Sus scrofa: one gene and its partners. The protein of the gene in region 3 interacts with the protein of the main gene of each other region in a pairwise test. Links are inferred from orthologs where the notes say so. Each region holds a gene or a part of one and is shown on either strand. Other genes may lie near its edges. The genes, in order: KIFC3, FOSL2, CREB5 and ADAMTSL4.

Evidence for each region.
Region 1: the proteins of CREB5 (region 3) and KIFC3 interact in binary tests that used the Homo sapiens proteins (3 or more experiments, as listed by UniProt). The two-hybrid records come from large-scale screens. The link is inferred for Sus scrofa from reciprocal best matches to the Homo sapiens genes CREB5 and KIFC3.
Region 2: the proteins of CREB5 (region 3) and FOSL2 interact in binary tests that used the Homo sapiens proteins (3 or more experiments, as listed by UniProt). The two-hybrid records come from large-scale screens. The link is inferred for Sus scrofa from reciprocal best matches to the Homo sapiens genes CREB5 and FOSL2.
Region 4: the proteins of CREB5 (region 3) and ADAMTSL4 interact in binary tests that used the Homo sapiens proteins (3 or more experiments, as listed by UniProt). The two-hybrid records come from large-scale screens. The link is inferred for Sus scrofa from reciprocal best matches to the Homo sapiens genes CREB5 and ADAMTSL4.

Annotation. Positions count from the first base shown.
Region 1 is NC_010448.4:19,665,103-19,668,665, reverse strand, and holds part of KIFC3 (kinesin-like protein KIFC3), read left to right. Parts: intron 1-1,202; coding exon 1,203-1,384; intron 1,385-2,408; coding exon 2,409-2,513; intron 2,514-3,563. UniProt on the Homo sapiens protein: Minus-end microtubule-dependent motor protein. Involved in apically targeted transport. Required for zonula adherens maintenance.
Region 2 is NC_010445.4:110,839,909-110,844,235, reverse strand, and holds the start of FOSL2 (fos-related antigen 2), read left to right. Parts: upstream 1-1,519; 5' UTR 1,520-2,544; intron 2,545-2,570; exon of another isoform or gene 2,571-3,453; intron 3,454-4,327.
Region 3 is NC_010460.4:43,858,955-43,862,517, forward strand, and holds part of CREB5 (cyclic AMP-responsive element-binding protein 5), read right to left. Parts: intron 657-3,563; coding exon 327-656; intron 1-326. UniProt on the Homo sapiens protein: Binds to the cAMP response element and activates transcription.
Region 4 is NC_010446.5:98,579,224-98,582,786, forward strand, and holds part of ADAMTSL4 (ADAMTS-like protein 4), read right to left. Parts: intron 3,506-3,563; coding exon 3,301-3,505; intron 3,110-3,300; coding exon 2,937-3,109; intron 2,783-2,936; coding exon 2,671-2,782; intron 2,567-2,670; coding exon 2,381-2,566; intron 2,194-2,380; coding exon 2,064-2,193; intron 1,726-2,063; coding exon 1,521-1,725; intron 975-1,520; coding exon 798-974; intron 485-797; coding exon 278-484; intron 186-277; coding exon 6-185; intron 1-5. UniProt on the Homo sapiens protein: Positive regulation of apoptosis. May facilitate FBN1 microfibril biogenesis.

The DNA of each region.
Region 1 (3,563 bases), on a different chromosome or scaffold from region 3:
GATCAGTGGAGGTGACCCTTCCCCATGGCCCCTAGCACCACTCCTTGGAGCATCCCTTAGGAGCTTTTGTGATTCCCTCTTTGTATACAAGGAAATCAGCACAGGGACGTCACAGGGAATTTGCTCAAAACGGCATGGCCAGCGAATGGTCCACCTCGGACCTGTCCACCTCTGAAGCCTTTGCCCCAGGGCCCCTGGCAGGCTACCGGGTGGCTAAGGGCTGGAGTATTTATGTACTGGGTGTGGGGGGGTGCTGGAATACCCCTTGTTCTGACCTAGGGCCTGGTCAAGCTTGAGATGCCACCCATTCACTGCACAGAGGTCAAGGGTGCACCTGCTCTGGGCCAGGTGTTATTTCAGACCCTGAGGATGTGCTCTGGGCCCGCAGAACCCATCCCTGACCTCATGGTGCTCACTTCAGTTGCGGGAGCACACAGTGATCATTAATACCCAGGGAACCCCCTCACTGCCCCTTTACCCAGGCTGGGGAGGGCGGCTGAGAGCCCCTGAATATCTGACAGTTGGGAGTGTTGGGGGGAGGGGTGCTTCCAGGAGGAGGCCAAGCTAAGGCTGAGACCTGGACTGGGAGCTGGAGTGGAGAGGTGAAGGGAAGGTGGGCCATGCTGGCTGTTGTGTGGAATTTTCATTCCAGTAGCTCTGGGATCTCACCCTAGCAAGGGGGTGACACGGTCAGATCTGTGCCTCAAACACCCCGGTGCCTGCCCTGTTGCGTGTGCCCATTCAGTGTGGTGCCAGTTGTCCACCTTCCACCTTGTCTGCCCATCTGATGTACAGGCCCTGTCCTGGCATTCTCAGTGCCTTTCTAGAGTGATAGACCAAGCTCCTTGTTGTGTATACAAGGAAACTGAGGTCCAGGTGTGTAAAGAGTGTCCGTTTTGTATCCCACCCACACTGGGTGCAATGTCTGAGCCCCACAACCAACCTTCCTTCCATGGCCCCAAAATGAGGCTCCTACCCTCAACTGGTTTGCTCAGCCAGAAAATGTATTGATAAATGAATTCATACTGTAGTGTGAGTGACTGATAACAGCTTTGTGGGCCACTTTGCCCTAGTGGGGCCTTGCTTAGAAGGTGGGGAGCTCCTGAACCACTAGCCTGCTCTGGACAGCGGTGGACACCAGTGTAGAGGCAGTCTGGTCTCGACCTGACCTGTACCCCTCTCTCTTCCCCCACCCAATCCAGGGAACATCCGGGTGATTGCCCGTGTCCGGCCAGTCACCAAAGAGGATGGGGAAGGACCCGAGGCGACCAATGCCGTGACCTTTGATCCCGACGATGACTCCATCATTCATTTGCTGCACAAAGGAAAACCTGTCTCCTTCGAGCTGGACAAGGTCTTCTCCCCGCGGGCCTCACAGCAGGACGTGAGTGTGGCCGTGCGGCGGGGAGAGACAGAGCATTGGAGGGAGGGGGAGATAGTCACCCCACCTGCAGAGGGAGAGGTGGTGGGGGCTGGGCAAAAAGAAGCGTAAGAGAGGGGAGACAGAAAGGAGAAGCCGGGGACCCCACAGTGCCCTTCTCCTCTCCTCTGGAGGAGAGAAGAGAGTGGGAAGATAAAAGTGAAGGCTTCAGAAGCCTCTGCTTAAGGAGAGAGCCATACATAACCTATGACACTCATATGGCCCCGCCCACCTGCATAGCCACACCCACTCCTGGGCCCATTCCACCCAGTGAACCCTCTGCTTTCATAGCCACACCCACTCTTATGGCCCCTCCCACCCACGTGGTCCCCACCCATATTCAGCCACACCCACTTTGGGGGCCCCTCCCATGGTCCGTCCCACTCAACCTGGCTCCGCCCATCCACGAGACTCGGACTTGCCGAGAGGCAGGCCCGCTCCAGTCAGGAGCACCTCCTGTGTCAGTGCCAAGGGTCTCCCTAGGGAGTCCCACGCTGCCCCTCAGGCCTCAGTGAGGAGCGCTCAGCCTGTGTGAGCCATGTGTTCTCATCTCTGCCAGGGCCAGCCTGGGGAGGCCAGTCCTGCCCATGCCTTGCCATCCCCTTCCAGGGTTTATCTTTGCCCCTGTCTTTTGTTGTGGGCTGGCAGGCAGGCCCGTGGCGGTGCCGGGCATATGCTGGCTCTGCCATCATTTTCTGACCCATCTTGGGAGGAGAGAAGCTGGGGAGGGCTCCTGAGTTCCCGGGCGGGGCGGCCCCTGCGTCCGAATCTGGTGGGCAGTCCCTTCAGTCACTCAGCAGTGAGACCGCCCACTGATGCCGGCGTCAGTGACCGAGTAGTCATGGATTCCTCCAGAGTGAGCTGGTTGCCCACAATAGCATGTGCTGTGGGGTTGCTGAAGCACAGGGGGCGGGGTCATGAGGAAGTTGCTGGTAGGGGCCCTTGGTCCTGGCAGCCCCACGCCCTCCATCGCATGTCCCCCCCCCAGGTGTTCCAGGAGGTGCAGGCCCTGATCACCTCCTGCATCGACGGCTTCAACGTCTGCATCTTCGCCTATGGCCAGACAGGGGCTGGCAAGACGTACACGATGGAGGTGGGTGCCCACTGCATGGGGCAGGGGTTCAGAGTGAAGACCCCCCCCCCACTGCCACCGTGTTGTGCCTCGCTTGGTCTTCACGGCCACCTTGGAGCAGGGCCCCACGTTACCCTGTTAGCCGTGGGGCACAAGCCCAACATGGTCCCAGTGGGTATCGGGGCGGGGGAGGTGTGCTGGCAATAGCCTCTGGCCTCAGAGGGGTCTTGGCCTGGGCTCAGAGTCCAGGGCAGATCGCTGCGGGCGTCTCTCAGGACTGGCTTGATTTCACTCAAACACATTTATTGGGCTGCTGCTGTATGGCGCTCCATGTGGGGGCTCTGGCGTGTCAGCATGAGGGAGGGTGCATCTCTGTCCCCCAGGAGATCCTGGCAGTTGGGGGAGACCAGCCAGTGAAGCTGTCCTGGGCACCCAGGTCTTACCTGCTGCTCCCAGGGCCTCAGCTCCGCACCTGCGCCACGCCCCCCTCCGTGGGGTGTGGCTGGGAATGGGGGTGTTGAGAGGAGGAAGGCTCTGACTATAGATAGAAGTGGAAAGCAGGCCCCAGCGGTATCTTTGGTTTGTTAGCATTTCCCTGGCTCTTGGGGGGTAGTGCTGCTGTGGGATTCTCCCGGTAGGGGAGGTGGGCCGGTGTCCCAACAAAGACAGTAAGAGGGCCCTGCTGGCCCAGGCTTTAACATCCTCTGGGGGGGACTGACATGGTGGTCCCTTCTCCTCCAATCCAGACCTTCTTTTCCCTCAATTCTGGGATTGATGAGACTGGTTAGCGAGGGGCAGGCCAAGCCAGATTGGGGGTGGGGTGCAGCTCCTAGGTTCCCGCTCTGTCTTGGGTGCTTAGAGTTTTTGGGTTTTTGGGGGTTTTTTGTTTTTTGTTGTTTTTTTTCTTTTTATGGCCACACCTGTGGCATATGGAGGTTCCCAGGCTAGGGGTCGAATTGGAGCTGTTGCTGCTGGCCACAGCCACAGCCATGCCAGATCTGAGCCATGTCTGTGACCTACACCACAGCTCCCAGCAATGCTGGATCCTTGACCCACTGAGCAAGGCCAGGG
Region 2 (4,327 bases), on a different chromosome or scaffold from region 3:
GCCCGTCTCGCTCTTCAGGACTGTGATTATTTTCTAAAACCCTGCGCAGGGGCCCGCGTGGCCGCTCTCGGGGGCCCCGCCCCGCGCCCCTTCCCAGGGCGGTGGAGAAGTAGGGAGGCCGTGGCGCGCTCTGGAGCCGGCGAGGGAATCCCTCTCCCTCCACGTCACCCGAAAGCGAGGGAACCCGCACGCGCGTCCTCTAACGCAAATGACCATCTTTGGCAACAGGCGCCGGTGGAACAGACCAAGGGCGCAGGGCCCAGGGGGGTGGGCGGGGGTGGGGAAGGGCCGGGCTGCCTCGGGTCCCCCAAACCGCGCTCACAGCGCTCCCACCCCCTCCACCTCCTTCCTTCCTCGCGCAGGGTGTGCGGCTGGCGTCAGCGCGGCCGGGAGCCCGGGCAGGGAGGGGAGTGCTGCGCCCGCCTCCTCCCGCGCCTCTTCCTCCTCTTCCCCCTCCTCCTCCTCGGCCCTCTCCCTCCGCCTCCCCTAGCGCTCCTCCCGCAAGGTGGAGTCTTGGGTTGACGTGAGGTACAGGGGCTGGAGAATAAAGAGTGGAGTTGAACTCGTGCCATTGTAGTGACTCATCTCGGGCAGAGCGCTGGGGCTCCGAGCGAACCAGCGAGCAAGCAAGCGGCGCTCGGCGGGGACAGAGAGAGGGAGAGAGAGAGGCGCGGACGGGCGAGGCGGGCCCGTCCGGGAGCGGGCGCCGGGGAAGGGGTGCAGGTCCGGGCGCCGGAGCCGCCGCAAGGGGAGCGGGCCCGCGTCCCTCTCCGCGTCAGCTCAGCTGGAACCCCACGGGCCGCGGGGCGGGCTGCCTTCACCTAATCAAGTGTCCCTGCCGCTCGAAACTCCGGCGGCGAGTCGGCCACAGGAAGTTTATTCTCAGCTCCTTTTCTAAAAGGAGGAAATAGAAGTTTCTCCAAGCGGGCAGCCTTTCTTTTCGCCTTTTTTTTTTTTTCTTCCTTTTTTGCCCTGTCTGAAATTGGGGGCCCCCAGACCTGGCAGGCTTGACTCGCCGGGCTCCTATTCTTTTTTTAATTTCCAATTTTTGATTGAGCCGGCGGTCCCGGCTGGGCTCTGATTGCGCGCGGGGGCAGGAGGGCGCGCGCAGGGGAGGGACCGAGGGACGCGCGGACTTTTTAGAGGGAGGGACCGGGTGGACAACTGGTCCCGCGGCGCTCGTAGAGCAGGAAAGAAGTGCAGCGCTCGGCGCTCGGGGGGCACTGTTCTCGGAGTGCCGCCGCCGAGGGGGAGAAGCCCGGGAGCGACGCTTAGAGCCCCAGGCGCGGCCGGCAGGGAGCCAGCGCGCAGCTGCCGGTGCGCGGCCGCGGCGAGGGCGGGGGAAGAAAAACACCCTGTTTCCTCTCGGGCCCCCACCGCGGATCATGTACCAGGATTATCCCGGGAACTTTGACACCTCGTCCCGGGGCAGCAGCGGCTCTCCTGCGCACGCCGAGTCCTACTCCAGCGGCGGCGGCGGCCAGCAGGTAGGTGCGGGCCCCGGGTGCACCTGGCGCCGCGGGTGGACCCCCCGCCTTCCTCTCGCCAGGACTGCCTTTTTTCCCCCCCTTTCTTTTCCCTTTCTTGATTTGGCGAGAAAATTCTTGCGGCCTCCATTGTAAGTTCTAGATTTTCATCTTGTCCTCCTGACACCTCCTTTAACCTTCCCCCATCCCCCGCCAACACTTTTTTTTTTTTTTTTTTTTTTTAAACTAGAGCGGCGAGTGGGCTGGAGAGCCAACAAACCCTCGCCTTCACACTACATCCTATACAGACAAGCTCCTGGAATTGCAGGGCCTTTTCCCCAGGACCCTGTACCTCTCTCGCAGGAACCCCGTGGTTAGACCCCCCTCCAAAAAAAATCTTTGCACCCACGGGCACCTCCCGACATCCAGGGACCTTATTCCTGCGAAAAAGCCCTCTCTCCTTCGGTCTTCGTTCATTTCTGAAAGAACTTGGGGACTGGGAAAAATGGGCTCCTTCAAGTAATCCGGAGCGAGGGCGAGGGTTGTCGCTCTGGGAATCAGGTGCGAAGGTCAGGAAGGAGGAGGTCAGCCTTGATTGGCTCAGGCTGCGCCTTTCTCCCCCGCGCCCATCCATCTCCTGTTAGGGTCACAGAAGGAGCCTGCACAGCCGACCAGAAGGGGCGCCTTGGGGGTCTGGGAATATCTGGGGCCAGGACGCCTGCAGAGAGGGGACGGTGGGGGGGCGGTGGGGGCGGTGGATGAGACCTCGCTTAGGCTCCTGGGTGGTTCTGGAAGCCGGAAAACAACTTGTTTCTAAAGCAGGCGGACTGGTTTGCACCAGAGGGATTTTGCCTGAGATCTGTGTGTCTATAAATACCGGAATAAATACCAGAAAGGTGCTGCTGGGTTGGTGGTGTTCGTGGGGTGCCTGCCCTCTGCAGCCACCACTCCCCCCCACCCCCCGACCCCCACTCTTGGGAGGGAGCTGGCTTAACCAACAAGGTTGCTGGAACCTGAAGCCCGCCTCGGTCAGGATCTGCAGAGTCTCTAGGCAAGTTGGCTGTCTCGAGTTGCGCTGGTAAGATGATGATGGCTTTGGCTTCTATAAGCCAGCCAACCAGGAGGGCCTGGGGTGGACTTCTGGGGAGGAGGGACCCTGAGGGAGAATAAAATGGAAAGGGGGCTCTCTTTGGTATCTGAAGAGGGGTCTCTTATTCCAAAGTGGTTCCCCATACCTGGTGAGTCCTTAAAATGGCTTTTCTGTGTCTTCTTTTTACCTGCCCCGGTGTCCCCTTTAGCACCCCACTGTAGAGAACCTGGTTGGTGCATTGAGGGTACGGTCAGAGCACCCCTAATACTGAGCACTAAGGTGATGCATTTCAAGTCTTGTCCCAAAGTGTTTGATTTTTGTTTGCTCTCCAGCCCCATTGGTGGTTTGTATTGAATCCAGATATCATTAAGCAGCGGGTGGGAGTCATTTATACCCATTCCCTCAGTCTCCATTTCCACAGCACCCCCCCCCCCCATCTCCGTTCTCCGATGGGAAGGGAATCTTCTGATGTCTCATCTGCTCTTTTGGCTGCTGTTTCTATGGCAGTCATCACTGAAATGTTACAACGTCGCCGCCTGGCTTTGCTCAGACCCTGGGGCCTGGATGGGAAGTCCGACCGGACATCAGTGCCCCGATTGAATAATCTGTGTCACTAGGGCTTTGAGCCCAGGATGCAAGCGGAGGCAATTCCCTGTTTTGGAAGAAAATCAGACAGGAAACCAGTGCTAGGAAGAAGGAAGAGAACTCAGTCCAGCAGAGTGTAATGGGGCCTCATTACCAAAGCAAAAAGCAGCTGTTGGCTAATTCCTAGCATGCTGCAACACATGAGGATTTTGCAATTAGTAATAACTGCTGCACGGGGTTCTTGCATATATGCTTGCCCATTCGGCCCAGCAGCTTGAGTGAGGCACCTTTCAAACCGGAGGGATTGGCAAGGTAACTCAGCTTTGGATGAGTTTCTTGGCCTGTCCACTCTTGGGGGGTGGGTGGGAAGAGGGGAGGGTTTTCCCATCATCTCTCTGACTTGGAGCAGAGCTGTTCTGTGGTCCTAAGGACTGACGTGAGAGGTTTTTGTTACTTCACAAGTCTGGGCTACGACCCCACCCAGGCTCAAGGTAACTTTATTACATACCAGATAAAACCTGTAATCACTTTATTTCTCTTAGCTTCCTTTACGGGGAGAGGGAGACTTTTCCTGGCAGTTAGGGATGGGCCCTCCTCCTCCAGTGGCGTCTCAGTGGACCAAACCATGTAAGAGGGGTCTCTGGTTTTACCTTGGGCGAGTGAATATTATTTTTTCCAGCTTGCTTTGTTGGTGGGGTCTAATATTCCTGAGCAGTTTGTTGCTGTCCACCCCACACAGGGCTTTCTTCTCCTCTCTCACTTGGTAAAGTTTGATCTTAACACATGGCCAGGAGTCCCAGGGACTTGGGGGGAAGGGGGTGCAGATAACTCTTTGTTAAAAACCTCTGTTCTTGTATATGGCAGGAACTTGAAGCATGAAAAATATTTCCTGTTCCACTTATAGTTTTAATCTCAAAGGTTGGTCATGGGTGATTCTGATTTGTCACTAATAGTTGCACATACCTTCCCCTCCTGGCTTTTTCTTTTTATTGCTGTTGTTGTTTTTTCTCTCTCCTAACTTTCTTAGGAAAACACCTCCCAGATATATGCCCTGCCTGGCTGCTCGACTCTTACGGTTTCAGGCCCTGAGCATTACGCAATCCAGCCAGTTACACAAACATAGGTCATTTCATAACTTGTTTTCATCAGCTGGGCTCCCTTTTTAATGAAAAAACAAAACAAAAAC
Region 3 (3,563 bases):
TCTTTAATGCTTACTGGCTTCTTCATCCTCCCATTGGTATTATTATTTTTAGGGTTAATTTTGCGAAACACTGCCAAAATAGATTTTGGAGAACTTGAAGTTTACATTTTCCCCTAGACACTAGACCTGATATTCACTGTATTCGTTCTAGCAACTATGATCTGGTAGGGTCTTATGGGTAACCGTTACCTCCTAGGTAATGAACAGAGCCCCCCAGAGTGTCAGATAGAACACCTGGACTTGTCAAACAACGTTGCCGCCAATGAGCCCACATTAGAGCCTGTACTTTGAACATGAAGGAGGAAAGAGTCATGAAAAAGGTCTACCTGTGCTTGGTTGCCGGAGTGCAGGGGTGGGTGTGGCGAGGTCTGGTGATGTGCTGGGTGTGCATGAAGGTGGGAGTGGGAGTGATGGTGTGGGTGGTTCTGCTGGTGATGGGGTTGAGGATGAGGATGGTGTGCTGGGTGCTGGTGCTGGTGCTGGTGCGGGTAGGGGTGATGGGCTGGCAGTGTCTGGTGCTGATGTGGGTGGGAGTGCATGTGGTGGTGTGGCGTCTGGTCCTGCCGGGAGCCCATCATTTCCATCATGTGTCCCATGGTGTTCATATTCCCATTTGACATGGCAGCCGGGTGATGGGTCAACGCAGCCTTCAACCTCTGAAACAGAACAAAACAAGAGGGGACAACTAGAGGTCAGTCACGTAGTACACGATAGGGATTTTGAATCCAAATGACTCATCTTTTCAATTCTATAATGTTTTCCGGTACTACTGTTAACATCTTTTTTTTTAAACTGGTAGCAGTATGGCTTTTCTATTAATTTCAATTTTTCATGCGTGTTATAGTAGGTAGGAGGGTCAATATCAACCGTAAATGTTACTTAGTTCAACGGTCATGGCAAACGATCAGGATATCCTAGACATTCTGCTAAAAGGTACTTCTGCTATCCAATTGTTCATCATAACCTATTGACAGCCAAACGCAAGCATGAACCCAATAGAACCATTCAAGTCGATAATACCCCTGAACAAAGGGCCCATCTGATATGGTCTGTGCTTAATAATGAGTCAGAAGAATGCAAGAATTTTGTTTCCCAAAAGATTTCTAAGACCCACAGAGGACATAACTTCAAATTTTAGAATACAGGAATACTGCTCATGTTATTTTAAGTCTTCAAGTTAGATTAGAAATATACAACTTTTGGAGGCCATTTGTTACTATGATATTTCTCATAGTCCCTCAGATAATCTAATTTTCTCACACAGTAATGTGCTTCTGTTCTTCTGATTTGAGGAAGGCAAGGAAGAAAGTAGGAGAATATGATGTATTGCAGCCTTCTACAGCCTCTTTGACGATGACATCGCAGGCTAAGTTCAAGTTGAACACGCAAGCCTCATCCACCAACAAGCAAACAGACATGTACACAAATAACTTCTCCCTGAATCTAACCCCTAAGCAGAGGTCGGAAAACTTTTCTATAAAAAGTCAGATAGCAAATATTTTGATCATTGCATGCCGTAGAGTCTCTCAAAACTACTCAATGCAGCCCTTTAAGCACAAAAACAGCTATAGATGAGATGTAAGCAAATGACCATGCAGTGTTCCGACACAACTTTATTCAGGAACAGGAAATTTGAATTTCATATAACTTTTGCATGACATGAAATGCTATTATCCTCGGTTTGATTTTTTTCCCCCAATCGTTTAAAAATATAAAAACCATTTTTAGCTCCTACGCTGTGCAAAATTAGGCAGCGGGCCAGAAGGGGCCCAGAATCTGGCCCCGATTTAAAGAATCAGTTGGTAATCAGCTTAGTCACAGTTTCTTCAACATTGTTTTTTCTTGTACACAGACAATTATCATCCTATCCTGAGGGGCATAACGTACAAAGTACTCTATAATACAGTTACTCCTTGGAAAGGTATCTTCTGCAGAGATGATAGTCTAGTTGGCAAGCTCACATTGGCTTCTTAAAGTATTTACTAGGGGGCTCCAAGTTCTCTCCTGATTTGTGTTCTTCTCTGATTGATGATGGTGGTGTAATCGTTGCAAAATGGAAGAGTTGCATTTAAAATGATGATCAAAGCAGCCATGCTCCAGCATGCACAATACGAATGAGTCTCAACCAAACAGAGAAAACTACTGATAAATACCAATTCAATTCTTTGAAATCTGTAGTTAAACCTAAAGAGCCTCCACTTGTTAAAAAAAAAAAAGTCTGGGGGGGGGCACAGTTTGACAGACTATGTTCATATTCCATAAGCACTGAAAACAATTCTTACTTCCTGATCCAGTAACCACTGAACCCACCTGCCTCCTCTTTGATGAGCAGCATCTGCTGTACAGCAGCGCCTGACCCGAATCCCAAAGAAGCTAAGCTTACTGAATCCCTGGGAAAGAGTAGATGCTGTGTATTGTGTTAATCGCTAAATGAAATAACAATAAACAGAAAAGTGACCAGATGCTCCTCATCTCCAATTTTCAGAAATGATTTCATTGTTTTTATACAAATGCTCATTATAAAAAATTCAAGCAATGCTTAAAAGTACAATGAAGTCAGCAACCAATGAACCAAATGCATTGTTTATATCTGGTGGGTGAGCAGCATTCCAGACAACTCTCTCCATGCACATGTAGAGATGGAGGAACAAGCAGAACAATTCCATAACAGTGGAGTCATAATAGCATGTGATTAAAAAAAACCCTCTCATTTGAATAGAACGTAAGCAAAAGAAGTGAAAACTGAATGAATCACTGGACTTCACATACATGTTTCTTTACTCAAGAATAGTTTCTAAATGATATCTCTGAACTTAAAAGTGAAGAAAATTATGAAAAATTGCATTGAAATCACTATTTTTAATTGACATACTGGATAGTATTGATGGATTTTCTAAACTATTTTTATAATTTCACTATTATAAAAATATACAGATGGAAAGGAAAAAAAAAAAAAGCAAATGACAACCAACTATAAGAATATGAGGTAGAAATGTCCATCCACAGATGAATGGATAAAGAAGATGTGGTACATATATATACAATGGAATATTACTTGGCCATAAAAAAGAATGAAATAATACCACTTGCAGCAATATGGATGGACCTAGAAACTATTATACTAAGTGAAGCTAGTCAGTGAAAGACAAACATCACATGATATCACTTATATGTGGAATTTTCAAAAAGGATATAAGTGAACTTATTTGTAGAACAGACTTTGAAAAACTTATAGTTACCAAAGCGGACAGGTCAGGGGTGGGATGGACTGGAGGCATATAGACACTGAGGTATATGGAATGATTGGCCAGTGGGGGCCTGCTGTATAGCACAGGGAAATTTACCCAATATTCTGTGATAATCCATGTGGGAAAAGAATCTGAAAGAGAATAGATATGTGTGTATGTATGACTGAATCACTTTCTCTACAGCAGAAATCATCACAACCTGGTAAATCAAATGCACTTCAGCAAAACTTTAACTCCCCCCCAAAAAGAATATGAGTTGGAAAAGTAAAAGCCACCTGTCTACCCCTTCCTTCTAAGCCCCATTCCTCAGATGAA
Region 4 (3,563 bases), on a different chromosome or scaffold from region 3:
CTCACCGGACTCCAGGGTGTAGAAAACCATCGGTCCTGGCAGTTCTGCCCCTGACAGGGCTGCAGGGCAGGGGGCCTGGGCAAGTGGGAACAGTTGCTAGGAGAAGTCACGTTGAACTCAGTCCCCAGTTTGGACACACAGATGATGTCTCTACGCTGTGTGCCAGAGCCACATTCCGAGGAGCACTGATGGGGAGGAAGGGAAGGGACAACAGGGGTTAATCCTACCTCCCCACAGGGAATCCACTGACGGGCCCCCTCCCAGGTTCTCAGCTCACCTCAGCCCAGGGCCCCGTGTACCAGCACCACGTCACCTCGCAGGGCCCCAAGCTGCAGGCACGCATGTCAGGGGGGCGGCTTCCTGGTGCACAGGTCTGCTCGCTGGCTCCTGCCCCTGCTTCCTCCTGGCCCACCCCATGGGCCTCCCCACTCCCAAGGCAGACCACAGAGCGTCGCTGGATTCCCGTCCCACACTCGGCTGAGCACTGTTGGGAAGCAGAGAGGGCTGTGACAGGTAGGGGAAGAGGAGGGGGCTGAGGACAGACACATTCTGGACCGGGGATAGGGAATGCCCCCAGGGGTACCAGCCAGATACAGGGAGACTTTGCCGGCAGGGGCAAGGGTCTTAATGTAAGTTTTCCTCACTTAGCTCCAAGTTCCCGGCATCAGCAGCATCTAGCATACAGCAGGTGCTTGCTCAATAAAAGTTTATTTAACCGAGTTGGAGAGGCTCTGAGAGGGTGTGGTGGATGTGGGGCACCAGGGATGGGGACTTGGCTGAGGGGGTGTGGGGCCCACCTTGGAGCTCCAGTCGCTGTGGAACCAGGCCGTGGTGCAGGGCCCCATGTCACAGGCCTCTCTGCTGGGGGGCCTCGGAGGGCCTGAGGCACACTCTTGCTCGCTCACTTCATCACCGTTGTTGCCCACACAGCGGACCTGCCGGCTCCTCTGGCCTCGCCCGCACCGCACGGAGCACTGATAGAATCAGGGGCAGCGAGGGCTGAGCTTCCCTGGCTCCATCACCAGCCTCCAGCTCTTTTGATTTTTGGTCTTTTTAGAGCCGCACCCGGGGCATGTGAAGGTTCCCAGGCTAGGGGTAGAATCAGCGCTGTAGCCACCAGCCTACACCGCAGCCACAGCAATGCCAGATCCGAACCTACACCACAGCTCACGGCAACACCGGATCCTTAACCTACTGAGCGAGGCCAGGGATCGAACCTGCGTCCTCATGGATACTAGTCAGATTCGTTTCCGCTGAACCATGGCGCGAACTCCATCTCCAGGGCTTTTGAAGCAGGATCTGCCTCTGCTCCCTGGCTCAGCAGTTACAGGGTTTGTGGGCTGAGAAGCGGGCAGAGTATGGGGCTCTGGGCCCCCAAGCCCTGGTTCAGTCTCTCAGCTGACTTACTGGTGAGATCTCGTTTGAAAAAAGTTGCTACTGATTAAAATGGGGATGGAAAAACCACTGTTCTGGCTCACTGGTACCTACTCCTCTAGGCTTCCGGGCCCAGGTCCACTCACCTGGCTCCAGGGGGATCGGACCTCCCAGTGGCCACAGAGGCGCAGCTGGCAGGGCTGGGTGATGTTGGGCCGGGGCAGATGTCCGCAGCGCTCTGGGGGCACCGAGGAGCCACCGCCCCCAAACTCCTGCCGGCAGCGCAGCTGGCGGTGCTGGGTACCAGGGCCACAGGAACGGCTGCAGGATGTCCACTCGCCGGTCTCCCAGCTATGGGTATGGGCAGGGCGGGAAGAGACAGAGAGACATGGATGGCAGAAACAGCCGCGTGTGGGGCCACCACATTCAGGGAAAGGGTGGACAGACGGGGTTGGGAGGAGAGGACAGAGGGCATATTTAGCATTTGGATTGTGGGGCTCCTGGTAGGACTCAGGCTGCCAGTTTTCTTGCTATCTATGGAATGTCAGCCTTTCTAGCTGAATAATATCTCTGTGTTGCCAAGAAATCTTGTGTTGAGCACAGAGTCCAGGTGTGATTCTGCAGGTGCGAGGACGTGTTTCCCCAGGGTGGCTGTTATGTTCCCAACCCTCCCGGTGGATTATACGCACTATGGTGGGCACGGGGGGCCATGGCAGGGTTCCTGGGAGGCTGGGGGCCTGGCACCCATGGCACAGCTGCGTTCATCCAGTTCCTCTCCCGATTCACGAGAAACGCAGAGGAAGATGGGGCGCCAAACACCTGAAGGGGATGAAAGCCAGAGGAGGTGGGACGGCTCAGCATCCAGTGTCAGGGGGTCCTAGTCACTGCAGGCTGATTTGACAGAGTCAAGGTGTGGACCCACCAGCCAGGCGATGGGATCGGGAGCACCAAGTGAGGGATTTGGGCTAAGGGTGCCAGGATTACAGGCTGCTATATGAAGTCTCACCTTTGCCGCACGATGCCGAGCACTCAGAGTGTCCCACCCGTTTCCAGTATCCGGTTGGAGACCCCAAGTGTGTCCTGGGATGGGACGGGGCAGGCATCTGGGGGATCCGCACCTGCCGCTGGAGGGTACCAGGGGTCCGGGCAGGCCGGGATGCCGAAGCGGGTGGGGGCTCCACCCTGAAAATCTCTGTGCAGGGAGAGTCGTGTAGACAAATCAGATGCATCCCCACTGCCTCGAGCTTCCCCCTTGGCCTCTCCTCCTCCTTCCGGGTCTGGGGATCAACATCTTACCAGGCTGGAGCTGGGGGAGATGGGGCTCTGGGGTCGGGTTCTCAAGGTCTGGGGGAGGTGAAGAGATGACATACTGATAGAAAACGCCTGGGCTTTCCTCCTGAAAGATCATCTGAGGAGAAAAGAGAGAAGCCAGTGGGTGCTTGCGGGTGGCTGGGGTCAGGGGCATCCAACAGCCTTCTCCCCATCTGAGACCCAGAGCTTTCCCCTCAGAGGAGAGGCCTCCCCCGCAGGGCCGCTTCCCCAGACCCAGGCCCCACACTCACGTAGACATCCACAGGCTGGGTGGTGGGGCCTTCAGCAGACAGACTCTCCCCTGCGCCCTCCTCTCGAGGAGGACGGTTGTACCGGAAGACAGTCCCGCCGGCCGTGTAGGACCCGGGGGGATCCACAGCCCAGTTCCCATTGATGATGGACTGGCCCCCAGGGCCTCGAAGCGCTGGAGGTGGCAGATCAGGACATGCGAGGTTAGTCCCATCACCCTCAGCCACTGCTTCCCTAGACACCCCCAGACACCGCCAGCCCTTGCGCTTCCTCACCATCCCCACGAGGGAGGGCAGAAGGGGCGCTGACTCGCTGGCTGGGCTGCATGGAGGTGTGAGGGGCAGAATCAGCAGGCCAGGAACTCACCAATGTAGTTGGAGCTGGGCCGGAGCTGGGCGATGTGGAGCCGGGAGGCTCCAGCAGGAATCACCAGGATCTTCTGATAGCCCAGAGAGCCCCCTGGGTCAGTGAGGTTCCCCGAGACCAGGCGGCAGGTAGAATCATCACCCCCGCAGACTCCACAGCCATCTGGACGCCTGCCGGAGCCCAGGATCCCATCACAGCCGGGGCTCTGAGGGAAAGTGGAGGGAGGTGGGGGCTGCTGGAAGCCAGCCCCCACCTCACACCTG